4 linked regions of the Lepisosteus oculatus genome follow. The main gene of each other region encodes a partner of the protein of the gene in region 3 in a complex. Links are inferred from orthologs where the notes say so. Each region holds a gene or a part of one and is shown on either strand. Other genes may lie near its edges. The genes, in order: cript, snrpg, sf3b2 and small nuclear ribonucleoprotein Sm D3.

Evidence for each region.
Region 1: sf3b2 (region 3) and cript share a complex: the UniProt entries of both Homo sapiens proteins name them as parts of the minor spliceosome. The link is inferred for Lepisosteus oculatus from reciprocal best matches to the Homo sapiens genes SF3B2 and CRIPT.
Region 2: sf3b2 (region 3) and snrpg share a complex: the UniProt entries of both Homo sapiens proteins name them as parts of the minor spliceosome. The link is inferred for Lepisosteus oculatus from reciprocal best matches to the Homo sapiens genes SF3B2 and SNRPG.
Region 4: sf3b2 (region 3) and small nuclear ribonucleoprotein Sm D3 share a complex: the UniProt entries of both Homo sapiens proteins name them as parts of the minor spliceosome. The link is inferred for Lepisosteus oculatus from reciprocal best matches to the Homo sapiens genes SF3B2 and SNRPD3.

The regions. Positions count from the first base shown.
Region 1 is NC_090712.1:13,353,800-13,361,277, reverse strand, and holds cript (cysteine-rich PDZ-binding protein), read left to right. Parts: upstream 1-4,474; 5' UTR 4,475-4,831; coding exon 4,832-4,847; intron 4,848-5,187; coding exon 5,188-5,253; intron 5,254-5,615; coding exon 5,616-5,670; intron 5,671-6,051; coding exon 6,052-6,155; intron 6,156-6,286; coding exon 6,287-6,351; 3' UTR 6,352-6,974; downstream 6,975-7,478. Other genes in the region: pigf (phosphatidylinositol-glycan biosynthesis class F protein), read right to left, coding at 2,003-2,119, 2,534-2,625, 2,997-3,224. UniProt on the Homo sapiens protein: As a component of the minor spliceosome, involved in the splicing of U12-type introns in pre-mRNAs. Involved in the cytoskeletal anchoring of DLG4 in excitatory synapses.
Region 2 is NC_090697.1:65,205,924-65,213,131, reverse strand, and holds the start of snrpg (small nuclear ribonucleoprotein G), read right to left. Parts: upstream 3,009-7,208; 5' UTR 2,890-3,008; coding exon 2,858-2,889; intron 1,478-2,857; coding exon 1,455-1,477; intron 1-1,454. Other genes in the region: protein FAM136A, read right to left, coding at 5,308-5,496, 6,286-6,426. UniProt on the Homo sapiens protein: Plays a role in pre-mRNA splicing as a core component of the spliceosomal U1, U2, U4 and U5 small nuclear ribonucleoproteins (snRNPs), the building blocks of the spliceosome.
Region 3 is NC_090713.1:22,561,966-22,569,754, reverse strand, and holds the start of sf3b2 (splicing factor 3B subunit 2), read right to left. Parts: upstream 3,010-7,789; 5' UTR 2,839-3,009; coding exon 2,709-2,838; intron 1,830-2,708; coding exon 1,783-1,829; intron 269-1,782; coding exon 197-268; intron 104-196; coding exon 1-103. Other genes in the region: collagen alpha-1(I) chain-like, read right to left, coding at 3,485-3,600, 3,695-3,732, 4,495-4,590, 4,850-5,093, 5,942-6,111, 6,683-7,228, 7,617-7,789. UniProt on the Homo sapiens protein: Component of the 17S U2 SnRNP complex of the spliceosome, a large ribonucleoprotein complex that removes introns from transcribed pre-mRNAs.
Region 4 is NC_090717.1:9,777,540-9,785,361, forward strand, and holds small nuclear ribonucleoprotein Sm D3, read right to left. Parts: upstream 3,014-7,822; 5' UTR 2,868-3,013; intron 1,941-2,867; 5' UTR 1,927-1,940; coding exon 1,801-1,926; intron 1,620-1,800; coding exon 1,427-1,619; intron 926-1,426; coding exon 861-925; 3' UTR 319-860; downstream 1-318. Other genes in the region: protein GUCD1, read left to right, coding at 3,850-3,856, 5,153-5,237, 5,564-5,729, 6,340-6,431, 7,066-7,307, 7,787-7,822. UniProt on the Homo sapiens protein: Plays a role in pre-mRNA splicing as a core component of the spliceosomal U1, U2, U4 and U5 small nuclear ribonucleoproteins (snRNPs), the building blocks of the spliceosome.

The sequences.
Region 1 (7,478 bases), on a different chromosome or scaffold from region 3:
AAATCAGGAAGGAGACTGTGAACCAGATCTGTCAGGTGACCACAGCCATCTGGGATGAGAGGGAGGAAACTGCAAAGTCAAGGACAACTAGAACCCTTTCCAGAAAGTGCGGTAAACAGCAGGCAACACACTGGGCCAGAGCTGCCCCAGCTTCCCCTCAACACGTTCTTAACTGTTCACACCACTTCAGCTGGAGTCATCCAACCCGCCCTTTACAGAAGCTCTCGGCGGGTGAGAGTAATTATTCACATACTTATGTAAAAGTGAAATTTTGGAGTAGTAAGAAAATTGTGCTTCAAAGCTGATCTGTGCTGAGAAAATAAATGTTAAATAGCATCAAAATATGTTTTGAGCAGAGTAGAAATGCGGTAAATCCAGGAAAGAGGAGTGAAGACGGACCTCTTCTCTACTGCCTGCTGCAGCTTTCCCTGAAACCTCACAACAAGGAGAAATTAAAGTCAAGCAGCGGTGCTTCACTTTGAAGTACTCAATCAGCCAATCAGTACATCTCTGCTTCTCTCCATTCTAGCTAAAGAATCAGTTTAAGTAGCTCTGACTGGCAGCTAGGCCTAACCGGACAAAAAATACCACACTGCCGTCAGCAGCTTGATAAGTAGCTCTATTGATTTTTAAACTTCAGCTTTTAAGATTTGGAGCACCTAAAGCCTAAGTTCAAATTAATACATTTTAATGATGTTTCCTTAGTCTTAAGCCCCTTTTGAAAAAATGCAGAAAAAATAAAAAGTTTTAAAAAAAGATAAGGATACAGAAAATTAAACAAAATCCTAAACTACAATATTGTGTATTGTGTATTGTGCCTTTCATCTCAAACCAACCTTACTGAACTATATGATATACCATCCTCTCAGAAAACCATTGCCTTAAATAATGCAGAACTATTCCTTAAAAAGCTCTTGTCTGAGTGGGGAAATGGTAGTCATGACATTTTGTATTCTCCTTCCCCAAAACCATTTTCCACAGAAACCACTGAAACAAATTTACAAGTGCCAGCGCTTCACTTGCAGTAAGATCCCAAACAGGTTCTTGATAACCATTTCCTCTTACTAGGACAAGTGGCATTTCAACACAACCCCACACTGCTTTCCAGTCTTGCCTGTTATGCAATCAATCTAGTTTTTCATTGTTCTCATTTACGCTAAGTCATCTAAGAAAATTCTGTGAAACTGTTATCTTCAGGTTTTAGAGGAAGAAAATAATCAAGTTAATGGACTTAGGGTAAAGAAACAATCGTGGCATTAGAATTCCCCCTAGTGGTAGATTTAAAAATGACACACAGCCACACTACTTTTTGCAAAATATTAATTTCTTATTTCACATTGATGAGATAAATGAAAAACACACTACAGTCTTATATTATAATACTAAAATGAGTATGTACTCATCACATATGTCAATCCAGGAACTAAGCTTATCTGCACACCACTTCACAGTAGGCCATGTTCTGTAAGTATTAATGTCAGCACTCCAGCAGTCCCATGCAGAGAGGCTATATGGACTCTTCCTGAATGATATATACCGTGCATACGTCATTCGTGTTACAAAGCCGTCAGTACTGAAGGTAAAAAGAAAACACGACGAGGATTCCTCCCTTCATTAGCTCCTGCACACCAACAAGAAACTGCCAGTGACATTACACTCAGAAAGAAATGGACTCTTCTCGCCCTGTGGATAGGTTTTGTTGTATTCTACAGAAGGTAGGACACTAAAGGTCCTACAGTTACAGTAAATTGTACTGTTTACTATATATAAGCCCAATGACTTATATAAAAACACTTAATATTATTCTGAAAAATACTTCATAGAAATTCTGACATGCTCATGCAAGTTCAGCCTATTTATGCACATAAGCTCCTCCACTTCTAAGCTCTCAAACTGATTTATCTGATTGTGAGTAACAAAAGGGACTGCTTTCTGCATACTCCGGAAAACGGTACTTCCCCTGCAGAAACAGGCGGTGCGAAAGTCAGAATAAGAGACGCACCCATCCCGACTGAAAACACGAATCCAGGCCTGGACGTTAGGCCCCAGGATGCAGAGACAGCGCAGGGTGGTGAATGTGGACAGCAGGACAGCAAAGGAAAAGGTTTCAAGCGCAGACCTGGAAAAGAGAACACATATCCTAGCAAGGCACACCCTGTCCTTGCAAGAAAATAGGTCTTTATTTCACTTATGCAAAGTGCTATGATTTGTGGGTAAAACACCCTGCTCTTGGTCCAGGAATGTGTGTCAATTCAGTCAGGAATATTACACCCGCTGCTCAGACAATATTTAAGACACTCTAAAAGGGTTTGGATTAGTTTCAAGCTGGGATCCGGTGGGGCACTTCAGACCTCAGCAATTACTTTTCCTAAACAAATCTCAGTCACACCAGCAGGATGCAATGAAACAAGAGAAAGACTTTCAAAAACATCACTGACTATTTGACTCATATGTCCTGATGTGAAACATGAACAGGCAGAGCATTTTAGTAACAGGACAAACTATTCCTAGTGACTTGTTGTTAAGTACTTACTCCAGCAAAGGTGCTCCATACAGGACAACAACTGTGTGGAACAGGAAGCAGGATAATATGAAATACAGGCAGGACCTGAAGGCTTTAGACACCTATGGATAAGACCAAACAGGTTTAATAATTACCCACTATATCTTTATAGTGTTTGCTGGCTCGGTTACCACAAAATGATATATGTGGAGACCAATGCAATTCAATGGACAAGCATACAGAAAACCACTCAAAGCTTCTAGTCCCTATATCAACTATAAGTGCAGAGTATTTTTATTCATATAGTTAATCTCTAGATTCATATATACCAGTTATTCTAGTGTTACTTCCATTTTAAAATTAAACTGCATTAACTGAATTAAAGGTACTTTAAAAAGATAACTGAAAACATTTAAAAGTTGTATTGGGTTGTGCAATACCTGTGAAAGCAGGCTGATTCTGCAAAGAGAAGAAAGTCTCCCTCAGACCTCACCTTGTAACTCAGAGTATTCTTCTTAGATGGTGGACTGATGCCCAGCAGCCAATAGACAGTGATGTTAACAGCAGCCACAGCTCCAGAGACAGAATACAGCCACACAAGGTGTGTGCCATAGACTGAAAACCCATCCACAAACAGAAGGGGCAGTACTGTGGCCATCAGGACAGAAGCTGCCATGATGGTATGGGCAGAAATCATTCCCTTGATCTCAATATCCTTCATGGTGATCCTAGGTGATTCCAGGCTGGAAAACAAGCACGCAATACTACCAACTTCAGGATACTTAAATCAGTTCAGGTCTGGGGAATATCAGGAGTTTAAGACTGCTTGCTAAGGTACAACACTCAATAGTAACATCCAAAAACAGCTGACAAAGGCCTCTGTATAGTGTTGGCTATCTGTACTCAAGAAGACACGTGGTCACCTGATTTCAGTTCCATCTGTGTTCTCAATTTTGTCAGAAATTATTATTTCCTTAAAACTCTAATACAGCTGCGTAAAGAAAACTTCCAGTGCAGAGGACACAAACTCAACTTGGGTTTTCGGAGCTGCGAATTCTTACTGTATACAAGCAATCACCAGGTTCTGTATATTAGCTAAGTGTTTGTACCTTAGTTTATCTAAATCTGCGTAGAAAAGGTAAAAATATTTAAATGTCGTTGGTACAAAAGATCGGACATTTTCAAAATCAATTTTAATGTAAAAAAGAATAAAACTGCTTTACACCACGTCTATATCCGTTGAGGGATTTGTGATCAGCCAAGAGTAGCTGAAGACGGGCGGCCAAGGCAAACCTGACTACAAGTTTCTGTCTCAAACCGTCACAGTGTTCAGAAACTTAACATACACGGGGAACCCTTTTGTAGAGGTCTGGCGTCTCCTACAGGAGCTGCAACTTTTCAAAAGTTATATTTCATCTTTAGCATTCTTCCAAGCCCCGGTAAATCATCAAGTATCAAATCTCTACCGTTCCAATTAAACTTAAAACTGCAAAAAACTATGCACTGCGTAAGAAACTGCAGACATTATGCCTATAAAACTGAATAATCAACAAGAGAAAATAGGATCGTAATTATATTTTAAGAAATGGCTTACCCTCTAGATGGACGGATTGTTGCTATATAATATCATTCAACGTTGGAAAAAAATAATAAACTACTATATACATCAAGCGAATGAAAAAAATCTGAATTATTCTCAAGAACACGTAGCCTCTAAAAGGTGTTTTTCCATTTTTTTAGTCGTGGTGCACAAATGCACGACAATAGCCCACAACAGTATCATTCATACCTGATTTCCGTATGAAATATATTCTGCGCAAGGTCAGTACAGCGTAAACAAGGACGTGGGGGGTGTCACGGCGTGTTTTGCTTGACGTACATTTTGCCCAATCAAACAGTTGCTTCATACCGATTCCCAATCGCCATCCGAGTGGGCGGGGATAAAGTCTAAGGTCACTACCCACAAACCCTGGGAAAATGCAAAATATTACGGCAGACTAGCCGGAAGGAGTAAATTCTTTTTGAGACGCATAAACACCCATATATTTTATGTGTTTACTATAATATGTAGAGTTCAGTAGTTTATTTCTGCCATGTCAGTGGACGTCGTAAAGCCGGTGGTACAGGAATGACGCAAAGAGGGGGTTAATTACAGTCGAGGTGCATTTATTTAGTTTGAAGTATACAGTACGCACTCTTTCTGAACGGAAGGACGAGACGGGAAGTTGTCACACGGCTCTGGCACCGGCAGAGCAGATAGTTTGTTTTCCTTTTCTCCGCTGTAGGTGGATTGATTTTCTTTTTTTCTCGTTTTAAGAGAGGAGAAAGATGGTTTGTGAGAAGTGTAAGTGGTTTCGTGACTTTGTTATAGTTGTCTCTGAATACAGGTCGCACTGATCATCTCTCCGTGATAATCGTAATAATCGCCAACACTGGGACGTTGCTTCGCTGTTTACAATTTGTGCCGCAGTGGAAATGCTAGAAAAAATAGTCACATAACCAGTATATCCATTCATTTTTAATGTGAGGCAATTGCGATTGTATACTATTTTCTTCATTTCTTTTAGTTTCCTTTGTACTAGGCGTTTGTAGGTATTACTGGCAGACGTCCTGTCGTGTGATCTTAAACGAAGAGACGGCGACTCCGCTGTTCATCTCTGGCTGAAACTCTTTGTAATTTGCAGGTGAAAAGAAACTCGGCCGTGTCATCACTCCGGATACATGGAAAGATGGAGCCAGAAACACAACAGGTACCCTAACTAATGCACTACGCTACACGTAAGCAAATAAGAAACGGAGATTTGAAGTGCAGCCTTTGAACTCAGATACGCAGTTAACAGAGATCCTTTTCCAACACTGATCAATTTCTGGATCTGGATGTGTCCGTTCCCCTTCTTGAACTCGGATACATTCTGAGTACTGCCAGATCTAGGTTTTCGGTCACTTTCTAAGGGTTTTCAAGACGTAGATCACTTTTGCAGTTGATAATGGAGTGTTCAGCATCTTCTGGAACAAGATGTGTGCTCCACGAATAATGGGGAGTAGCCTAAAACATCATTACATTAGAAAGGTTGGGCATTAATCAACCCACCTTTGTTTCTTACAATTGCAGAAAGTGGTGGCCGCAAGCTGAATGAAAACAAGGCGCTTACTTCTAAAAAAGGAAGGTAGGTGCATCTTTTCATTAAAAAAAATGGTTCACATTTGTATTTTCTATGGAAATGTACATAGTGCTTTTCATTCCAAAATTTGTCACATATAGAAGGTGACCCACTTGATTTACTGCTGAAGTGCAGCACCCCGGGTAAAATGCAGCTACCATTATGTGCGCCAATAATATCAATAGTCTTGCTGACACCAGTGGAGAAACCATCAAGATAGCTTGTCTCATAAAACTGTGTGCTCAGGATTCTTTGAGTCTTTAGCACAGAACTACTAAATCCAGACTTTCATTGTTGGCATATGTGCTGTTTATTTGTAGATTTACCTTAGTAGTATACAAGCTAACCTTATGTGTCTTTATCATGTTTTCCTATCTTTTGTTTTAGGTTTGACCCCTATGGAAAGTCCAGATTTGCGATCTGCAGGATTTGTAAAAGCTCAGTCCACCAGCCTGGTTCAAACTATTGTCAAGGGTGTGCCTACAAAAAAGGTAAGAATCCAGCTACTTATCTGGGCATTGTAGTAATTTAGGAATGAAGCAGGTATGCAAGTCATCCTAGTAAATGTTTGTTGTGGAAGTGTGAAAACCTGTGGATTCTAATAAGTCTCTTGTTTTCCTAGGCATCTGTGCAATGTGTGGCAAGAAGGTTTTGGAAACCAAAAACTACAAGCAGACCTCAGTGTAGTCAATCCATCAAATTGTTTATGAAAGGAGTTACGGGGACTGCACTGGTCCAGCACTGGTTATTCTAGAGACAGAGCTGCATTGAGCTGGTTCTTGCATGCTGGGCTTGCTCATGGAAAACAGACGCTCAAAGCCATGAAGAACCACTACAGACAAAGCTGTCTCCGCAGTGTATTTTTTAAAGCCTTGTTTCTATATTCAAAGGTAGTTCTCTTCTGCTCTTTGAATCCAAATGTTAAATTAGCTTTACTTTAGGCCATACTTAAATATATCCTGTAAAACAGCAATATACACAAGTTGATGACAGCGGCTCTCTAGTGGGTGGGATGGTATCCTTTCATATCTGTAATAGTGATCATGCTTTATTCATTACAAATTACATATTGACGTTTTTGTTTTATTACAGTTAAGTGTAATGGTTACAATTGCAATGTAACTGGGTTTCTATAAATATTTTTTGCTATCTGTAGTTCTGTAATTTTTTAGTGATTACTGACTTACAAGACTGTTAATGTATAAGGACTTATCAGTTTACGTTGTGCTACTAAGATAAAAACTCGTTTGTAATAAAAGCTTTTAAAGGGAAGATAGTTGATCTGGAAAATAAAATAATTTAACTTAAAAGTTGTATTTTTTCAAATTCTCAGGATTTGTTATTTGAATTTTCTTTCCTGCACGCAGACATGGGTTTCCATTCTAGCCTCTAGATGGTGCTATTTCCGTGCTGAAACTTTGGCATCTCCAGAGCTTTAACTTTTAGTTGGAAATATATAGTGACAAGGTCAGTGTACCTTGGTGAATCACGCTAAAGGTATACATGTTGACATTTAAATACTTTTTTTGCCCTTAAGGTACATTTTCCTACACAATATTTCCATGAATTGACTTCTTGCTCCTCATATTTTAGTCCTACGCAATAACTTAAGGGTGTGGAACAGAACATCATGTTGATTACAAACCCCTTTACCTCATATTAAGCTTCTTATACAGCTATGACTCCCTTCATGTTATGGAAATTAAAACTTTGCTATTTGTTGCAAACCCCGGTCCCTGCTTCAGGCGAGGGCAAGAGCTCCCACGTACTGTGATATGATGTGGCCCTTCCTGCTCTCTAGTCACTGGAAAGCC
Region 2 (7,208 bases), on a different chromosome or scaffold from region 3:
GCTCTTAGATCAGGGGAGTCAACTCGCCCCCTGCAGGGCCAGTGTCTTCTGGTTCGTGTTCTTCCACCCACAGCTGTCTGAATCCTCCAATATTAAACTGCAGGGTGGAAACACCTCTAACCAGCCTCTGAGGTCATTCGAACGTAACCCTACCTTTGTGAAAGGTACGAGTGAACAATACTAAAAGGCAGTTAGAAAATTCTTAGGAATGTCCAGGAAAATAATGAACTTGTTTAATTGACTATTCAGATTGGAACAGAAACCAGAAGAGACTAAGCCCTCCAGGAATGGAGTTCGACACCCCTATTTTACATGTTTAACACGGGGCTATCCAATCTCAGTCCTGGAGAACTATGGGTTTTCAATCTGACTTGGACTGTAAACGTTTAATAGGAGGTCCTGATCCTGAGGGGTGTCTGCTGGTATTACAGGTCTTTTTAAAGCACCACCAAAAACTGGTTGCAACAGCTGTATAATTGCTCCAATTCAACCATTAATGAGCCATTTAGGATCACTAAGAGCCCAGGCAGACTGAAAACCCTCAAAGACACCAGCACCCCTGGACTCCTGGTTTAATAGAACTAGTTACTGGCTTAATCAATGTTAATGCAGCCTGCTGAATCTCAATTGAAGAGGTCTTTAAGTGGTGAAGAGCCACTGATTTATACATACCTATTTAAAATAAAAATACCTGCTGTTAACAAAAAACACAATTTTTTTGTATATATTTCAAGAATGATGATTAGTTCTTTTATAAATATTAAAGCATATGGTTTAATTTAAATGGTTTTAGCTTTCATAAATTCCAAGATAATTTTTGGATGTGAAACATTATGGCAGCAAAGGACACATTTTCCTCTAGGTCTATACTTGTGCACATCTGTAATCCCCATCATGGACGATGGTGATATTAGCAGTGCATGCAAAAACATCTTAGGAGAGGATGTTTTTAACCATTTTTCTCAATCTATCACTGGTACTCATCTTTGCAACCCTTAGCTTTTCATTAGCCCTCTCTGCATGCTAGATGTTTCACTGTTGTTAGTTAATAGTCAGAGCTTTTACTGGAAAAAGTCCTTCCTATCTCACCTTAGTGCAGTTTTGGGTCATCATAAAATGTAAGATGTGGATAATAAAAATGGGAACAATTTAAAGTCACTAATAGTGACCATGTGCAGCCTGTATGCATAGCATAGAGTCACTGGCACTGCCCAGAACTCTGCAGGAGGACTGAAGCACCACCCTTCCATGTGAAAGTCATACAACTAACACCTGGGTAATGGATCAATTCACTATTGGAACTGAGGACTGATGGCTGTAATCTTTTACAATGGCATCACACATGCACTTGTCAGTCGAGAACATGGTGAGGGACAGTTCATCAGACCATATCAAGTTTCTCCTGGGAGGGGTCCAAACACCTCAGTTCAGCAACTGAAACCCTACATACTCACATGACAACTTCTTGTCCATGAACCTGGACAAAAAGGAAAAAAAAAGTTGTTAGATTCAATACAAAAAAAAATGTTCTACAAAGTCTGTACATCATTCGACCTGTGGCATGTTATAGAAAACATGCTGGATTTATCATGTAAACCAACATGTGAAAAATGTTAGCTTATGCAGGAAACATAAGCTAACATTATTGACATATTTTCAAGACTTGTTTAATATAGACTGACCTGCTATCATTCCCTACTCTGACCGTATTTATAACGTTTGGGAGCATCCGTAAGTAAAAGTAACTGATATTCTGTGGAATTTAGCATTTGCTCATGTGTATGTGATTGTTGGTCATACATTCTGAAAGTAATGTCACAAATAATGGTTTAATTGTACACTTCTCAAGCTGTATTGTTTTAAATATTTTCCCTCCCAAGAAACAACACTACTGGACGTGTTTGCCTGTATTTAACAAAGCATTATCGCTTAAACCTCCACAAACCTTTAAAGGCATCGCTTCCAGATTCTGTTTTGGATTAAGCAAAGCAATGAACCTTAAAGGCGATCTTAAGAGGCTCAATAATATTTAAAAAAGATCACGTTTAGCTAGCTGCTATACATCTGTTATTCAGTGACCTATATAGCGTCCCCAACCTATGCAATGAAAATGTAAACAGGCTTTTCCACGCTCTCCTGCAATCTACAGCTTGGCGCGAGTTTTCATCTACCACCATAGAGTACTAAAGGTGCAAAACCGGAAGTCCGTCCATGATTTCTGCAACTGACAATTGTAGCTTGTTTAATATTACGTTTTAAAACCTTAAAACCAATTAAACCCATTACATTATTATTATTATTTTAGAGTTACTTTCTACGAGTCTCGCGCAAGTCAATCAGTTTTCGTGGGACTTTCTCGGTGCGCATAATCGTGGTTTGCAGAGGTAGCTTTCGTCACAGGTCGATCTTTCTAAAGCAAAAGTATACAAGCTTATACATTCACGACCTATCAGGATCGTTAACGCGGCATTTTTAATATTACGGGGTAAACAATCTAATCTCACGTTACAAACGCTTTAGAAAATACACAGTACCGAAAGCTGTGATGTATAACGCTGTGTGGACACTATTTTCGAAGCCAAACGTTACGATAACGTTTGCACTCGGTTCACGAAGCGAGGTCGGAAACGTATTAACAATTCTTTATGAGAAATATTAACGTCGTCTCCACGGTTGGAAACAGATCCAAATATCACGGAACTACAGGAGCCCTTCAGAATATTTTATCTAGTTTTAATGGCGAAACATTTCAAGTTTGTATCTCAGCCAAGTACAACCCCCCCCAAGATCCAACAACTACCGTGATAAAAACGAAAGACACAAATGACCCTACGAGACTAAAACAAGAAATACTTACTTCTTCAACTCGGGGGGGTGTGCTTTGCTCATGTTTACGTGTAGAAAGCTATAGTTTTATATCCGTTCAATAACAAGACCACTGCGCTCTCAGCGACTTCACCGCCAAACTCCACGCACGCTGCACCACAAAGGACGAACGCGTTACCATAAAAAAAGTCCGACCATACCTTCCGGCTCACATTATGCGTCATCAACAATCGCCCGAACACTGCCACTACTCCAACGCCGTTTAATTGAATATTCCCTTTCCATTTGCGCCTCCTCTCGGCAACCCAAGTTCACGCGCATTCTCTCCTGAAACTGGAAATACTATCCTGCAAACGAGCAAGAACACGATGGGTGCATTGATTGTAAAGATTTTCTTGACCGATAAATACCTGTTCATGCCGAACAGGCAACAAGCCTAATGAATAATTGGGCAGGCAATACTGCTATAAAAATCATATTATTTAAAAAGAGCTTTCCTAAAGACAGCAAGTGCCGCGCTGTAGCTTAACCGGTGGTCCAGTTAGGGCAAACTGTAGCAAGAGGTAGCAAATCTAGGTGCGGATGTAACAGAGTTCTCCAGATAGCACACTCTCACTGAAAGCTCAATAGAAGTGATTGATTATTGATTTCATAGAGATTGGAAAACCAGAAAGCATAATGAAAATAAAGAGAGTAGAAGTTACTGGCTAGCAATTTTTTGGCAGAACAAAGAAGGATGTTTATATGCTGCCCATAATTCTAAATATATTAACCAAGAATGAATGTTTGTACATCAGATCTTTAGGAAGGGTCAAAGGGCATGGGCAAGGACATTTTGTGAAAACTTCACTCTTTCAGGAGATATACCAGTTTGGCATATGAACTTTAGAAGAGGTCAGAGGTCACAGACAAGGATGTGTCTGAAAGCACATACTGTATGTGGGATTCCATAATAACTATGACACCTTCTAAAGACCTTTCAAACCTCACATTAACTAGGCTCTGTCAATTATTGTGCATAATGTTTTATGCAAAGTAGATTAATTGCTAATATTTTGGTATGTATAGAACTTGTTAATGAAGGTAGTTGTTAAATAAGTAATTACAGCACTGCATGGAAGATCTGAATTTCACACTGCAGCATACCAACACAAACCAGCACTCATACGCGTCTTCATTCCTCGCTGGCCAGCGGAGATTGGCCATTCTCTGGGCTTGGACAAGGGATCTCTGTGAAGGTGCTGGTGGTAAACAGCTCAACCATCTAGCAGTGAATGGATCTCAACTTCATTTAGTGACCTCCCCTTAAATGCAGACAACTAAATCCAGTGGTGTGGTGGGGCTTTAATAAACACAAGTAGAACACTGAACCCTTATCAGCAAGCTTCTCACTTGACCCTCTCCGATGGGGTTGTTCTAGAAATTATATGAATTTAACACTCTGCATAGAGAAATTCCACACATTCCTCTAGGGTTACAGTTATTAAACAACTAGTTACATATCTAGACACACAGCTGAAGAAGGATCCACAGATGAAACATTACTTTTTGTTACTGTTAAAAGTGGAACTATCCACTACTCATTCCTTATGGACACTCAAAGGGATTATATACTTTTAATGCTAACATGCATCGAACACACTCATGTGACACTGGCTTTCTGGTCTCGACCCCACCATGCCAATAGCTCTGAGCTCAGCTCATAGGGCTCAAATTGCAGTGACTTGTGTTCAGAGAGACTGTGAGGGTGGAAATAATAATCTTCACTCAGCAGCCACACGGTTCTGGTCACACCCTCCCAAATACAGACAAACAGGCACAATCCAAGCCTGAAGACAGACACACCGTCTCTCTTTTTAAGAGAATACAGAGAAAACTGATTTTATTCCCGATTTTGATTTGTTGCAATACAAAAAGGGAAACAGTGCTGTCAGCAGCAAATTCCACAGTGTGTAAAACTGAAGCCACAATTGCACCCCCTGCAGGAGGAGGTAGAGAGTTGTGCAGAAACTTGGCTCTAGTGGTTCACAGCTGCTCATGGTTTTCTCCTGACAAACGAAGAACACAGAGGTACCAATAAGATCCATTTCAAGTTTTACCATACTCCTTCTCTCCTTTCTACTTTAATTCCAGTCTGCAAAACATAGACAGACATGAATATACGAGAAAATGAAAACTGTCTAGATTTCATTTTCTATGTTTACTAGAGACGGCAGGTGGTAAAACCCGGACTGGATCAAACTGCTATGCACGGGGAGTCCCAAGTTTCATCCGCTTGTCTTCACGGTCTGACACAGCCAGGGTGTCCCACTCCACCTGTCCTCGGGAGGACAGGGGTCAGTCCGCCGGGCGGTCCGCGCCCTCTGTCTGTGCCGAAGGCCCGCGCCGCCGGCCAGTCCGTGTCCCCACTCCGTGCCTGCTGGCCTCGCTGTCGGCTGCAGGCCCAGATGGCCCCCGGGCCGGCTCCCAGCGCCCCCGTCCTCACTGCTTGATGGAGGCCAGGCTGTCCTTCAGCCGGCGCGTCACGCTGGGCAGCAGGCTCAGGTGCTCGTCCACACAGCCGCCCACGCAGCGCTCCAGCTGCCCGCGCACCGCCGCCTCCTTCGCGCCCGACTCGAACGCGTCCTTGGCCTTGTCGTTGCAGTGCATGGTGCAGCGGGCCAGCCGGTCCTGAGGCGGGACAGAGAGAGACAGAGCAGCTTTCAGCAGGACAGCTCAGAGCAGGAAGGGGTTTGCAACACCTGAAATTACACTCAGAAAAATGTGACCTCTCCTCACTACTTCCTGTACCCACAATGACAGTACTCCTACACCACTACACACACGACAACTGAATGTAAACTGGAATTGTACTTAAAACTGTACAAGTTGTACTATTAATAACCGTATTATTTTTGCACTGTTCACCGTTTTACTTTTGCACTGTTTTTGTCCTGTTTGTATACTTTTCTCTGCGTATTTGCACAGTTTTTGACAATTTTGCAATGGCACCATACTGTTGTTTACACTGTTATTGTATTTCTGTCTCTTGTCTTGTCTGCTGTTCTATTTATATACTGCACCTGAGAGACTCATGAGAAACACTTTTCACCATACTATGCACCCGTGTAAGTAGAATGACAAATAAAGTTGAATTATTATTCTGTTTAACATTAGCAAATACTACATAATGCAATGAAAGCCTTTGTTTTTGCAAAGCTTATTACAGTCTGTTGCACTGTGACAAAGCTGGACTCCTCAGTGCTCTTTTCTGCATTGCTCTACCTTCTGCAGACTTCATGACATTATTATATGATTAGAGATCAATGCAAGTTTCAGTCATGTGCGGTGCTCCATTAAAGAGTTCTGTCTCTCAGTTCCCTATATATTAAAAACTCCAGGCTGTGCGGTCAAGCCCGGGCTGTAGGGGGCAGCGCTGAGCGACCTCCACACCCACGTTGCCTCCTGGGAAAGTCTCACCTGGAACCTCTCCAGCTCGGTGGTGACCAGGCTCTGCGCCTGGGCCAGGGGGGCGTGGCAGCGCTCGATGCACTGGTGCACCTGGGTCATGGAGTCGCTGGCGCGCTCGCAGCACCGCGCGCTGCACTGGAACATGAGCCCCTGGGGAGGACAGGCAGCCAGAACGCGGGGCATCAAACACCACATGAAGCCCACGAGAGAAACGGACAACGGAGGATCTTTCTCCGAGCCCCCGTTTACCGTGACAGCACCCCACACTTCACACCGCATCCGAATGAAGTCGAATGAGACACTCCTAAGCCTCCCACAGTAATAAACACAGTTTTACAGGTAGTCTCAGTCAGGAAACGCAGACACTCCCGTGGTACTACAGGTTGAACAATTCCAGCTGTTACCAGCGGTAGAATCCTGTATCAATCCTGTCAGTCAAAGCTTAGGTCCTGTGATTGTTGTTTTATTCAGTTACGCAGTCAAAAGTATTTTTGAGTTAAAAGGAATTCTCCATTTCATTTCGCAGACAGGTTTGCGTTAATATAACTTTCTGTGCGTTCGGATGGGTTACGGGATAACGTGACTAGGGAAAAAAAAGGAGAGATCGGGCAGCAGGTGTAAATGTGACTGTTCAGAAATAAACCGTTTCCCTCCAGTTCCCATCACAGAGTTTTTAATCGCCCTCACACGAACCCTTCACTAACACCATCTGGCCCTGCGAATTTCACGTCTGCAACCTTCTGTGAAATCGCTTGAAGCAGAAGCAGACCAGAATTAACATGCCTGTATAAAAAACACCATCTTGTCAATCAGGGCACGAAGCTGCGAAACCCCCAAATGTATCAAAATGTTATGCAACGAGGGTCGCGTATTCTTTACGGGGAAATGCAGACACCAGTACTGTGTCCCGCGTCCCGTCAACCAGACACTCA
Region 3 (7,789 bases):
CAGGGGGCGGGGGCACCCCCATCATCCCCAGGGCCGGGAACATCCCCGGGGGAGGGGGAGGGGGCAGGGGGAGAGGCATGGGGGGCATGGGCAGGCCGGGCATCTGTGGGGGGGGGGCAGAAAGGGCAACATTATTATCGGGGAGTCGCTTAAAAATTCCCTGCTTGGGTCCCTCCCGCACCCTGGGCACACTCACCTGGGCCGGCAGGGGGGCCACCACATCTCCGTCACCGGCCTGCAGCGTGGGCTTGGTCAGCATCATCCCCGTCTGGAACGGCAGACACAACGTCAGGGGGAGGGGCTGCAGCAGAGCCTGGCGCTGCTGGAGCAGGACTGTCAGACCTGGGCACTGCCAGCCCATCTGGACCCAGAACAGCAGAGCCTGGCACTGCTGGAGCAGGACTGTCAGACCTGGGCACTGCCAGCCCATCTAGACCCAGAACAGCAGAGCCTGGCACTGCTGGAGCAGGACTGTCAGACCTGGGCACTAACAGTCAATCTGGACAAGACCAGAGTCATGGTTTTTCACAAGAAAGCCAGGCCTCAGGGAAACAAGAACCACTTCTCACTCAACAACAACACACTGAAGCACACATCCAGCTACACACACCTCGGTCTGACTATCAGCTCTTCCGGGAGTTTTGACCTGGCAGTGAAGGCACTGAGGGAGAAGGCACTCAGGGCTTTCTACGCAATAAGAAGGAGGCTCTTCAACACCAACCCACCAACAAGAATCTGGCTCCAAATATTTCAAAGTGTAATCCAACCCACTGCCCTATACAGCAGTGAAGTGTGGGGTCCCCTCACAGACCAGGAGTACACTCAATGGGACAAACACCCCACAAAAACTCTGCACATGGAGATCTGTAGAAACCTAACAACGGGTGCAGGGCCGAATTAAGACAGTACCCACTATTGATAAACATACAGTAAAGAGTATTAAAGTATTGACTACACCTAAAAAACACCAATCAAAACTCCTACCACCACAAACCCCGGCTGAGCCAAGAGCTGAGCCCAAAACAGAGCCCCCTGAGCCAGCTGGTCCTGAGGCTCCCTGACCCAAGCCACACCGACAGAGGTGCACTTCCTACTGCACTGTGACAGATACTCCGGGATTAGAGAAACATTCTTCCAGAAATTTACAAATCTAATCCCAGAGTTCCTACACCTACCAGAATCACAATAGCTTCCAATCCTACTGGGAGAGGGAGGAGGGAACTCAGTTGAACTGGTAGCCCAGTATGTGATCTCCTGTCCCAGCCTGAGGAACAGTGAGCCTGTCTCTCAATAATAATAATAATAATAATAATAATAATAATAATAATACTACAGTGTGTGATCTCCTGTCCCAGCCTGAGGAACAGACAGTGAGCCTGTCTCTCAATAATAATAATAATACAGTGTGTGATCTGTCCCAGCCTGAGGAACAGACAGTGAGCCTGTCTCTCAATAATAATAATAATACAGTGTGTGATCTCCTGTCCCAGCCCGAGGAACAGACAGTGAGCCTGTCTCTCAATAATAATACAGTGTGTGACCTCCTGTCCCAGCCTGAGGAACAGTTAGCCTGTCTTCCAGTAATGCTCCAGATGTTTGCATGTAACTATTTAGATGGGTCTGTATTGTGAAATTCCTGAAAACATCCATAGATTTTATGTTAATTGTATTTGCTTTGGCAGCACGGATGTATTCATTGGTCATGCCAACAAAGCATCTTGAATTGAACTGAGAGAGAGAGACAGGTCACTGTATCAATCACTTCTGACAGAACATACTCACCTGCATCGCATAGGCCTTCAGTCTGTCAATCATCTCCTCTCTGGGGCCTGAGGACAGAGACAACATCAGTCCAGACTTCAGAACTGTCACTGAGCAAAGACCCAGCCACAGCACAAGATAACCACAAGTACCCCCAATTCCGCCAGGCTGACTGAGAGAGTGTACTGGTTCTGTCTAAGTAACAAATCCTAAATTCTGATAGAGTATGTAATGCACTGAGACCTGGGTTTCTACTGGCTCTGGGGCTGAGCCGGGTAACTGCAGGGCTGAGGTCTGGGGTTCACCTGAGCCGGGAAACTGCAGGACTGAGGTCTGGGGTTCACCTGAGCCGGGAAACTGCAGGACTGAGGTCTGGGGTTCACCTGAGCTGGGAAACTGCAGGACTGAGGTCTGGGGTTCACCTGAGCTGGGAAACTGCAGGGCTGAGGTCTGGGGTTCACCTGAGCTGGGAAACTGCAGGGCTGAGGTCTGGGGTTCACCTGAGCTGGGAAACTGCAGGGCCGAGGTCTGGGGTTCACTTGGCTCTGCAGCTGAGCTGGGAAACTGCAGGACTCGTAAAATATATATAAATAGCTACAGAGATGATCAACGGATGGTCTGTTAAGCCTCCGGTGTTTAAAGCAACTAACGAAAGCAATTTCTTTAAAAGCAATCTTATATCACAGCCCCCTTTCATGAACTAAAGGCTCACCGGGAGACTCCGCGGCGCCAAACCTGAATGAAATGAGGTGTTTCTGGCGGTTCTGTACAAGATACAGGGTACGCCACAGAAATGAACCGAGCAACCTGAACGCCGGGTTCCCCAGACGCCCGCCCACCGCCACTGGGGCCGGCCTGCTCGGGTGGACTGACCACTCGAGCCCGAGGCTTCGGCGCAAGGCCTCGGCCTTTTCCCTCCCTCCACGGAGCCCGCGCTTTACACTTACCCATTGTGGGGGCGCCAATCTCAGCTAGCTTGGCTTGAAGCTCCTGGACGCTCCATGTGTTCAGGGCAGCAACGGAGCTGCCGAGGTCCGGCGGAGCTTGCTCGGTGCCGGGCGGTACATCAGTCGCCATGGCTGGATCACAGAAACAACAAGCGAGGCAGGAACGGAAACCAAACGAGCGCTCTCAGAGGATCATGGGAACTGCGACCGGAAACGGCGGTCCTGCGGCTTTGTGGGATTTGTAGTTCTAGCAGGCGGCCACAAAACCGAGTCACTTTCCGAACAGATCAAATGCAGTTCTTCTACCTACATGAAAGCGACCCCCCAAAAAAACCTAGAGATTTGTAATACTGATAAATATGTTATAATCTTTTAGCACACGGACACACTGATGAAGAATGGGACTGTCACAAGCATCTTTTAACACCCGGCGACACGCTGTCGCACACACGCTGACACACATACACGCACACTGACACATAGACATGCTGACGCGCACACAGCACGGCCTCACACACTGACACACAGCATCAATGCACAGAAACACCCAACCGCAGTTCTATACATCCATCTTGCTGATTAACTAACGAAGGATCTGACTGAAGCAGTTTTTGTGGACAGATGTTTATTCTGAACAGCTTGACCCTTCCTCATTCCAGAGCCCCCGCAGGGTCTGTCTGGTCCGGTCCTGTCCTGGACCATCTGCTCCTGGCGGCCTCCCCAGGACCAGGACCGACCCGTTTCGGGGTGCTGCGGCAGTGTTCTCCACCTCTCTCTCAGTCGAAAAAATCGTCAAACTCGTCGGGCACTTCCGGGGGCGCGGAGCCGGGCTTCGGGGTACCGGGAGCCTCGGTTCCCGGATCGCTGCTGTCCGCGGAGCCCCTCCGGAGCGCTGCAGGAGACGGACACACGGTCACTGACCAGCCAGGGCGGACAGCTAGGGCTCATTCGGGGGGAAGAGCAAGCTACCACTGAGCAGAACTGACCTTTGCCCTGGGCAGTGAGAGTGCCGCTGTGATTCACCCTGAAAGTGCAAGAGAAAGAAACATCCCTTAGAGATCATTCTACTGACTGACTTCAGGAACTTCACTGTGGTCCTCTGTACAGCGCAGTAGAGCCCAGTGAGACCAGGGTAAAAGCACAGTACAGCGCAGTAGAGCCCAGTGAGATCAGGGTAAAAGCACAGTACAGCGCAGTAGAGCCCAGTGAGACCAGGGTAAAAGCACAGTACAGCGCAGTAGAGCCCAGTGAGATCAGGGTAAAAGCACAGTACAGCGCAGTAGAGCCCAGTGAGACCAGGGTAAAAGCACAGTACAGCGCAGTAGAGCCCAGTGAGATCAGGGTAAAAGCACAGTACAGCGCAGTGGAGCCCAGTGAGATCAGGGTAAAAGCACTGTACAGCGCAGTGGAGCCCAGTGAGATCAGGGTAAAAACGCAGTACAGCGCAGTAGAGCCCGGTGAGATAGGGGTAAAAACACAGTACAGCGCAGTAGAGCCCAGTGAGATCAGGGTAAAACATGGTACATGTGGATGGTGGTGAACAGGTGTTCACTTGCCTCTCATTCCCTGGTGCTGGTGGGACCTGGCAGCTCCCCGTTACTGTGAGCTACAGCACCCCCATCTGTGAGAGAGACACAAGACACCTGTCTCCCCAAAACCAGGGCTGGCGGGGCCCCCCTCCCCAGACTGCAGACACCTCTTGAAATGGCCCGTGGCCTTTCAGACGGATTCGATCGGGAGAGGGCGTTCCTGTGCGGTCAGACCCCCAGCCCCAGCGCACGCGCACCTGTCCGGCGTGCCCCCGGGGCGCTCCTCTGCGGCAGGGACAGGCGGCGGGCACCCCTCCTTCCTCCCGGAGCGGCTCTCCTCCTCTTCCTCGGCTCTGCCAGGAGAAAGCCCCTGTCAGTGACTCTGAGCTGCCTCGATGAGCTCATTCGCCCGGATACTGAGGCGGGCGCTGGCGGGAACGATCAGGGAGGGGGGGGGGCATACAGACTCCACACAGAAGGATCTCTGGAACTGAATTCTGCACGTAAATCCTCATTCTAACATCGCTTTTAACACACACTTGACACACCAGTGCCAGTGGAAGCGAGAGGCTGGTGGACGTGGAGGTGGACTGTCGCTGGAAGGACACTCACGTCTGACCAGAAGACGTTTTGGGATCTTCCTGCGGAGCCAGGAGAGCTTCGATCTCATCGCTGTCATCTTCATCATCATCATCATCATCATCATCATTGTCGTCGTCGTCGTCGTCGTCGTCCCCTTTGCTCTTGATGTCGTTGGAGGCGCCCCCACCCACCTCCTCCTCCTCCTCCTCCTCTTCCTCCTCCTCCTCGGAGCTCCCCTGCTGACCCGCGATGCCCTCGGAGTTGACCACAGACCCTGGGTCGGGTGACAAACAGAGCAACCAGCTCAGTGCAAGGACGCTATTTTGCTAAGGAGAGACCTAGCAGGACGGCCCAGCCCGCCCTCTCCCCCTCCTCCTGTGTCTTGTGTTGAAGACGATGCCCGGGCTTCTTACAGGAAGCAGAGATCCTGGGATCACAACAGGAGTGACTACGTTACACACAGTGCTACCCAGCCATGTCGTCGAAGAAACAGCTGGACAAGATCCAAAGGGTTTCTCATTGGTGGTGAATATTCTTGTTTTTTTTTAAATCAGGGGTCTCCAGCCCTGGTCCTGGGGAGCCCCAGCCCAGTGTGTCCTACAGGTCCCCCTGAATCAGGGGTCTCCAGCCCTATTCCTGGGGAGCCCCAGCCCAGTGTGTCCTACAGGTCCCCCTGAATCAGGGGTCTCCAGCCCTGTTCCTGGGGAGCCCCAGCCCAGTGTGTCCTACAGGTCCCCCTGTTTCTAGAGTTTGGACACGCCTGTCAGCTCCTGATGGCCAAGCCAGTGGTTTATTCCATTAAGAGAACCGCAGTCCTTGAGGACTGAAGAGGACGTAGGTCCTCAGTCCTCAATAATCCCTAAATTGGTTAATTTGACCAATCAGGGGTTTAATTGTTCACCGCGAGGTCGATCTTTAAAAACAGGTGGCATTAAAGGTTGTTTTAGATTGTTAACATTTTCAGTGCACCTGCACCCTCACACTTCCAGACGGCATCGGTAGATCATGTCATCAATCATCAATCTTCGGTCATCAATCATCAATCATCAGTCATCAATCAATCAAGTCATCAATCTCATCAATCGCATCAATCTCATCAATCCGTGGCCGTGAGGGACCCACCCGTCAGGCCGCCGGCGTCCGCGCCCGTCTCCCGGCGGCCCTCGCTGCTCTCTGGCGCCGCCCTGCTGTGGTGGAGAAGAGCCCAGGTGAGCTGTGGATCCGGCCGGGGGCAGGAGCTCTCTGCCCCTGGCCCAGCAGGATCTTCCCAGGTCATATCCCTGCTGCTTGACCTGCACGCCTCTCAGGAAAAACACAACATCGACCCACCGAAAGGTCAACAGCTGGACACGGGCAGGGGATCGCGAAACCCGGATGCCCCACAGTACAGGGGCCGTGGCTCAGGGTCTTAATTGTGTAATTGATTTATGAATGAGGGCGGCCCTGGGTTCGATTCTGGAGCTGTGTTGAGCTTGCATGTTCTCTCTGGGCTTCAGTGGGTTTCCTCCAGGTGCTCCAGTTTCCTGCCACAGTCTACAGACATGCTGGGAGGTGAATTGGCTTCTTTTGGGAAACTGGCCCTTTTGTGTGTGTGTGTGTGCGTGCCCTGTGATGGACTGGCCCTGGTGGGTGTGTGTGCGTGTGTGGAAAGCGATTGGTAAACGGATGGTTGGATTAATCAATTCACCAACAACACCAGGGAGCCGACTCCTGGGAAAACCTGGCACGGAGTGGACTGGGAGCGGAGGAGGCACTGGGCCACTGGCGGTGCTGAACCAGATGGGGGCGCTAGCTGCCTCTGACAGATAGTAGGGAGGAAAGTGGGAAATGGGCAACCCGGGGTGGTCCGGGCCGAGCTCGCACCTGACGCCCAGCGGGGAGCTGACGATTCCGTCTTCGGAGTCTGTCCCCTCGCTGTCTCGCTCCTCTTCCTCCTCCTCTTCCTCTCCGTCGCTCTCCGGATCTTCCTGCTCGTCTGGCGCCCCTGTGTCCGTGCGGCCCCCCTCCTGGCGGTCCGGGGTCTCTGCTTCACTCGGGCTGCCGTTGGACCCCTCCTCTGCGGACGCCCCCTCTCGCTCGCTGGTGACGCCCCCCATCTCCCCCCCTCTCCCGGGATGGCTCGGGCTCCCCGCCCCGCCGCTGACCTCTGACCCCGCCTCGCTCTCGCCTGGGTCGCTCCCCTCCGTCTGTGCCCCCGCCCGCCCCCCAGCCCCGGCGTCCGGCGGCTGCAGTTCCCCTGTGTCTCCAGCAGGGGGCGGCGCTCCGCTCTCGGTCTCAGAAGCGTGCTCACTGGTGCTCGTCTCTGACGGCCTGGCCCTGCCTGGGGTGCCTCGAACCCGGGGCCTCTCGTGGCTCCTGCATTCTGCACTGGAGTCTGTGAGCGCACCGTCTCGGGGCTGTCCAAGGTCCCTAAAACCATGAAGAGAGGTCATCCCCAGCACTGACCCCACTGGACACCTCAGTGCCGTGTGACCCCCAGCCCTGACCCCGCTGGACACCCCAGTGCAGTGTGACCCCCAGCACTGACCCCGCTGGACACCCCAGTGCAGTGTGACCCCCAGCCCTGACCCCGCTGGACACCCCAGTGCAGTGTGACCCCCTGTGCTGACCCCACTATATTCCCGTGTAGCTCTGTGCCATTATCCCAGATCACTCCCTGTCCTGGAGAGTCACATGGGCTCCAGTCTTTATCCCTGTAAAAGCAGCAGGCCGGGGACTTTCTGGGAGCAGGGAGTGAGGACCGCAGTCCCAGATATTTCCTTTTCCCGCAGCAAACAGATCACAGAGGGTTACTTACTCCCGGGAGGAAGATCGCTCCTCCTGGCCCTGTCTCCGCGGATTCCTCCTCCTCCTCCTCCTCCTCGCGGCGGGGGCCCTGTCCGCGTCCCTGCTCCCTGCGTCGCTGAGGGGGGGGCTGGTCTCCGGGGCATCGTCGAGGGCGGGGCCGGTCTCCGGGGCATCGCCAAGGAC
Region 4 (7,822 bases), on a different chromosome or scaffold from region 3:
TCTATATTCTAATGTATTGGATTTCTATAACATTTCACCTCAACACACTCTGCATATTTGAATGTGCACTTCACCCACTGCCAAAGAGCAGCACCCACCTGAGAGAAGTGGTAGATGTGCACCAACAGCTCCTCTACAGAGCAGATCAGGTGGGGGAGTCAGAAATGGCTTCAGCTGAATTAAGAGGGAGCTTCAGAGACACTAGAGTGGAAGATGTGTAAGCTGCCAGATTTAGATTACACAAAACTGAAACACCAGCAGATCACTGGGAACAAAGTATGAAACCTGAAGAGTAAAAAAAAAGGCACAGCTGCACTCATGTTCAACATAAGTTTTTTATTTAACGGCCAAAGATATGAATTACTATTAAAACAAAACCAGACTATGTTGTCCACTAGACATTATTTTATCAATGCATCAATTCTGGAGAAGCTCATAAGGTGAATTATGTTTTTGAAACAAGACTGAATGGAAACCCGACATTTCTTACAATACAAACTTCATTATAAGTCAGTACAAAAGTGACAGAAGTTGAAAATCATCTTTAGACCAAACCTAAAGGCTGTTATGAGGATCAATATGTTGAATTACATAAACAGCTGCCCCTTTCATGTAGATTCGACTGCAGTAAATCAAATGTTAAAGACAGTACTGACTGAATATTGATTTGTTAAAATGTGAAAGTAAAGGAGCTGCACAAACACTGGACATTATACCTATTTTTATTGAGCACCTAAAAAACTTGCCAGAAAAAAAAAATCAAAAATGATTTGCCTTTTAACAGACAACATCGTGAATGATCACCCAACCTTTTAAAAAAACTGTACAGTAAGAAAAGGCCATGAAGTGCACATTGAGGGTTATCGTCTCTTCTGGAAAATATTTCCTCTTCCCATTCCCCCGCGGCCTCTTCCTCTCGCAGCCACTTAAAAAGAAAAAAGTGGACACAATATACAGTACGTGTTAATCACCCTATAATTGCAAACAAGCTGCACTAACTGGCAATGCCGATCAACAGATTACCAACAATACTGCTGCTCTGGAATAAGTTCCATCGTTCAAGAAATGACAGGCCCCTCAGATCAGTAACTTATTAGCAGCCACGTGACCTGATACGAATGTCTTACTTCTAATGAAGGCCTTAACCCATGCACCTAAACCTAAGGAGTTTTAACCCAGGTCATTACGTAGGTGTAGAACCAAGTAACGATGCACACGTCAGCAGGTGGTGATCGAAGAGCACTTTCTAGCTGGCGTTACTTTATTTCAAGACAGTCATCAGTACGATGGACGCTAAGGAATAAATTTAATAAAAACCAATAACTTTGATATTTCTGTAGGGTTCTGCTGATCACGCTGAAGTCCTCTACAGAAACACACCACCTGGAGAACTGTCCTCTGAATTGGAGTCTGGTGAACAACATACCTTGAGCTTTGAGAATGGCAGCCTTCCCTCTTCCAGCTCCAGAGCCCTGGTTTTTGTTCTTCATACTCTTCAACATGGGGGCGTTTTTCAACATGTCCGGCAGGATTAGAAATCTTATCTTGCTGCCCCGGATATAGACCTGTTCCAACTGCGCCACACGTCCATCTCTGTATGTCACAGTGATATTAGACATCTGGAAGACAAAAAAAAGCAGCTTTAAATTCACTTGCATGTGCACAACTCTGCATGAGATTAATTCAAAGAATCCATCAAAAGCACATAATGTGTGAAATTATATGGGGTCACTGGCCTAAAAGGTTTGCTTGGTTTTGTGACCCCTGGCATTTCTCATCTCAACCACTTATCAGGCTTACCTGGCAGTTCATATTGTCCTCTGCTTCTATAAGCTTTCCTCTGTACACTTCGCCCGTGTTGGTTTCACAGGTGACGATGTGACCCTCGGCCTCATGCAGAACTTTGATAGGCACTCCGATGGACATTTTAACTGGGACCTCTAAACAAACACCATGACAGGGAGGCAAATAATTCCAGGTGAGCAATATTAGGCTAGAACACACAAAAACCATGCTTCTGGATACCTTGGAAAAAGCCAGCATCTCTACCCCATGCCCGATAAATTAGATTCTGTCCTGCAGCTCAGTTTGTACACAAGTTAAGGTTACACATCACACGTTTTTGTAAATGCCTGTTATTAGGTAACAAGATTAAAATGCATTCAGTAACGAGTATTAGATTTTGAATTTAGACAATTGTAAAGGGTTTGTATGGACCAAGCAGGCCATTAGCTGTTCACAAAGGAATCAAAACCTGGATACTGGATGCATTTACTCATAGGTACGCATGTTTAGTTCGAGTCTAAAGAGCAATCTGATTTAACCTGGTATATACTATCAGTGATCAAGATGGACCCCAGAGCAAAATTCACTAGTACTTTTAACTTTTTTGACAGTTTGTTAGCATACATTTTACAAAATAGATGTGATAATGTGCACTTCACAAGATTAAAAAAAAAATTAGGCAACTCTTTTTATAGATAATAGACCAGTGCGTTAAGCAACATTCACTAAAACAATCTTCGAAGCAGATATTCTGCACTTTCGAAACATATTCTTCAAAGCAGTAAATGAGAACAAACGGTCTCTACTTCGACACGGCCTTTGTGTTATGGCAAAGCCCAAAGAGACTTGGGTAGCTTTAGCTATGGGAAAAAAAAAACCCATCTCATTAGCAAAAAAAAGTTTTTGTTTTGCATCTGGGAGAAAATACTTCAGGAGAAGGTATATTTGTTTTCTAACGTAAAGTATTTCCACGCCATTCAAATCAAGTTCATTTCCTACCTTCAACGAACTCATAATCTTGATTCCCTTCGTTAAAAGAAAGGTAATATCTTACAACTTGTAATGAAACATAAAATTCTTACCTGTTCACAGCAAATATTGAATTCCTTCTCTTATTTAACCGTTTCCCGGTTTTAATCGTGAACGGCAGCGTGTTTAAAACCTGACCGCCTCGGAGTACGATTTTGTTCGTTTCCAATACCCCACAATGCAACGCGTTAAAGGAAGTCACAAAGTGCTTCCGGTTCGATTTGGGTTTTTCCGTCGTTATGATGAATGTTGGGATTTGTAGTTTAACCAACATAACGTCTTCTAAAATTTCTCAAGAATGAAAATAAGTATAACGGGCTTTCTTTTTACTAAATACCACACAAGGAGGAAACATGTTCTGTTGCTCCAACTTTTTTTTACTGTGCTACGAAAAACATTTGTAAAGATATACAGTAACTCTCATCAATGTATAAGTTCTTATTATTTCATTAAACCTTCTTCTTCGTCACTTGCTGGGTTTATTCCAAACCCCTTCTTTTTCTGAAAAGGAAAGAAAAACAAGTTGAAGATGCACTTGATTTTGTGACGTTTAAGAATGGCTCTAAGCAGCTACCCAACAAAACTAAAATAAAAAAAGAAATAGCCAGTTGTAAGTTGCTCCCCAATAATTTGTGATCGCCCCGAATATCTCACCATCTACTGTCACGAGTAGTACACTGGAGTACAATATATTATAAGAACAGCCTATTTATTCTAGTTCTCGTCCCTCCTTGACTGTGTTTAGAGGGCGCTGTAGGCGCAGCGGTTTTCAAATGAGCGTCTGTGGAAGTCCTCGTTTTGCAAGAGGAAATTGCGTACGGCGGAGATGCAGGCAGAGGTGCCCAGCAGATCAGCACTGTAGTGCCGGAGAGAGGCGGCCCGGACCGGGGTCGTAACTGTGGCTCCTAATGTTCATGTCCGGCGAACAGACCCAGCGCCGTGGTGCTGAGACGGTTTCCTCTCTGAAAATCGCCAGATCGTGCGCAGAAAGTGAAAAGGACTTAACAGCATTATATAAAAAACAAGCAGCACAGAATGACAGGTAAGATGGAGCGTTAGCGTAGTACTCCGTGTCGACGAACTGGATGATTTGGGATGGTCCCGCTTTGTTTTTGTTTTAAATCAGCCCTTGTTGGAAATTAACATATTCAACGATTTCGAGGCTCCAGGAAAGGTCCCGTCGTGCTGTCGAGGTGTTGCGGGCCCTGTTACCACAGGTGTTAAGTGTTTTAATGTACACGACTGTTTCTCGTCAGGCATCTGAAAATAAATTAAGAGGAGCAGTGGTGTGACTGGTTTCAGAAGTTCGCTTTGCGGCTGAGCACAGATGTCCTTCAACCTGCTATGCACTTCTTGTCCTGCGTGTAAAACAAGTTAAAACACTACACGAACCACTATCGAATTAACTGTAAATAAACCCTGGGTCGTACAGTAGCGTGGTAGGTACATTTATTCACCGGTCACGTAAATGGAGTTAACATCCGTGACTGAGCCCTCTATCCCGATTGACACAGCTCCGTACAGCGTGTTTACAGTTTAGTTCAGTGATAAGAGTAGCTCATATCCGTGTTTTTTTCTCCAGCCGTGTATTTTATCGCAGGTAGTTGATTTCAGTTCTGTTTTCGGTGCGCATTTGGAAATGTGCTTTCAGCTCTTAAAATACCAAATGGGATTCGTAATTGGTATCAAGCACGTACCGACTTCTGAGTGTCGTGCGTGTGTGCTGCCTGAGAAGTACTCACTGTACCTTCCTGCAGAAGAAAAATAAAACTGCCTATTCTGGGAATGTCTGATAAACTCTCACTCCCACCTGTGTCTGTTCATTATCAACCAGTGATTAGTTAGACGGCAATTTGAGAACAGACTGCATACAGGTTTGTGTGCTGTAGTTGTTGGAAACAGTACCCTTACAGTAGGGTATGTGTGGCATTCAAGACAAAGAAACAAGATAAATAAATTGCTAAAAAAGCATGCAGATCTGTTAAGTCAGATAGAGATATGGAGATATAGAGCTCAGTTGGAAGGAAAAAAAAAGCAGTGTTTCTCCTGTACCAGGGTTAGGAATCACTGGATTAGACAGTTTCTAATTTGAAATCATTGACGATCCCTAATTATATATGTATTACTGCATAAAAGGAAACAATTGACCATATTGCTTGTTTGGCAGTTTAGTTGCTACAGTAGGTGCATTTAACATTTCCTCCATCCAATTTCTTACCACTTTGTCCAATATAGGGTTGCATGTTTTCAGTGTTTATTTTATCGCTATGTTTTTATGTAACACACCAGAAGTGTAATATCTGAGTATATTCACGTCAAGGCCCTTTTATTTGTTTAGATGGTGTTGTTCAACTGAAAGTACCTGCCATTCGGCAGCTCTATCACTGGGACTGTGGGCTGGCTTGTTCCAGAATGGTTTTGAAGTAAGTAAGACAGTGAAAAACATTTTGTAGACTACATTCAGAATGGACTGGAACTTTAGTAGCATTTACAACATAAAATGTGGTGATGAAAATGATTATTGTTCTTAATTTATGATGATTGTTTTTTTTTATGTTGCCTAACTGGAAATCTAGCTCATCGCATAGCTAGAGTCGTGGCTCTTAGTGCGAATGTGTGGCATGCAGCTGTAGTTTTGTGAACTAACAATGCAGTTTTAAAAGCTTGCAATGGGTCAAACTGCTATTGGAACATAAGGAAGTGGTTGCAGCAGTGCTGTGTTTTATTGCCCCCTGACGTTACTGTGTAGGTACCTCCACCCAGTGAGTGAGGAGGAGTTTCAGAATGCCTGCTGGGAGCTCAAGCTGACCGAAAGTGTATGGACTATTGACCTGGCCTACCTCATGAGCCACCTGGGAGTCAGACATCAGTTCTGCACCCAGACCCTTGGGGTAGATAAGGGCTACAGAAACCAGGTACTGGCCAACTCTGCACTTTCCTGACAGTCCGACTGGTGTGAACTATAGGGCTAAAGACCTCTATAGGTTGGAATATTTCGTGCTAAGGTAACTCGGTTAGGTAGTGGATCCAGTTTACCTGTAGGCACTCTGGCCAAATAGCTCAACTGGTTCATTTACTGTGCAGTGGGCCATTAGGTGTTGTCACAAATGTTTATTGTGCTTTAATAAGAATTTAATACACTTATATAGATGTTTTCATTACAAAAGGATATCAAAGTTCTTTATATATATATAGGAGGGGACTGACGTCTCTGCTACGGAAGTGTAGCCCCCACCTGAGAGACACACTGCAGCCATTCTAAGCCAGCAGCCCCAGGTGGAGCAGGCGAGAAGTGACATTTTTTTGCCAGTTGAATTAAGAGAGTAGTTTTATACGGCCAGATTATTCATGCCCAAAGTAGTATTTTGGTAGGACAGATGGATAACCACCTCTATTCCTTTGGAAAGTTCCATGAGTTCTTTAATTTTATGGTCCTTTTCCTTGACACACCTGCGAAAAGTGAACAGTCATGTAATACTTAACCTTACATGTAAGTAATTGACTAGCTTCCCTCTGATTCCCCAGTCGTTTTACAAAAAGCATTTTGACACCGAAGAGGACAGAGTGAATGAGCTCTTTAACAAGGCAGAGAGCAATGGGGTGGTGGTGAAGAAACGGTAGGTATTTTATCATTTTGTGTCCTTTTGCTTTCCTTTTTTTACATCTGCTGTGTTCTTGCTTTCAGCAGGAAAATAGAATTTTCATTTGTCTACTTAGCATCTCCAAGACACCTGCAAATGTCAGAGAAACAATGACATTTACAACATGCACTCTTCTGTCTGCTTGTGCCACCTGCTTCCAACTTGTTTTGGTGTTTTTTCTTTTAATGGCCATTCCCTAATAGAACTTTAACCACAGTCTTATGAATAAAACTACAAGCCTGAAAATGACTTCTACGTTAAACTCTGTTAATGTTAATGTTAGACATGGTAAACGTCCGGATAGTGAGTGCTGATGTTCTTCTCACATTTCACCTTATTCTGAAGTGGGATTAAAGCAAGAAAACTGTATGTTCCCCTGGTCCTGCAGGTTCTCTGAGATTAACAAAGGCGAACGTCTGAATACAGTGGAAATTTGGACTAATTCAAGCCATAAGAGATTAGGTGAAGGTGTTAAGAGAGCATGTGGAATGAATTGTAGAAGAGCTTCCCAAGATTTAGAGTACATATGTCCGGTTTAAAGAAAATATCAATGCTTTTATTTTTTTTAGTTGATTTAGCCTGTAACAGGAGTGATTTTGATCTTCTACAGCTCTGTGACGATGCAGGACATCCAGAATCACTTGGCTCAAGGGCACGTGGCGATAGTGCTGGTGAATGCTGTGCTCCTGGTCTGTGACCTCTGCTCCACCCCTGTCAAGTATTGCTGCTTCCTTCCTGTGGGCCAGAAGTGCTTCTGCAGGAAGCCTGACTACCAGGGGCACTTTGTGGTGGTGTGTGGCTTCAACCTTGCCACCAACTCTGTCTTCTACAACAACCCAGCTTACTCAGACAGTGAGTTCCCCTTGAAGTGATTCCTTTGGGAAGATGGAAAAAGAGTGCCACAGTAAGGAACAACTGTGGGGGAAAAAAAGTTGTTCCGATGTGTCATGGTCTTCATTGAATTGCCGTTTTGAATGACAAGACCTTTGTCTTTCCTGTGTTTCTTAGAAGTAGTACAGAACTTTTATAAATCCAATCCTCTCTAAAATTTCTGAGTATGAACACATACTCTGCTTTGATGCCAGAGTGGGATACTTATGGAAGATAACATTTAAAAATTCATTTCCTGTGATCTTAAAGAAGATTTGATTTGATTAGTGGTAAGAACTGGAATATGAAATAGTTCCATTATAGCAGAGCAAAAGAAATGTCTTTCTGAAAGATCATGGTTTTGAAGGACTGCAGGAATGTATTCCATGCATTCTGAAACACAGACTGCATCCAAGGAAATTTGCTTTCAGTGACAAAAAAATTCCTTGTGTATTTTGCAGGAGTGTGTTATACCAGCGTAAGTAACTTTGAGGAGG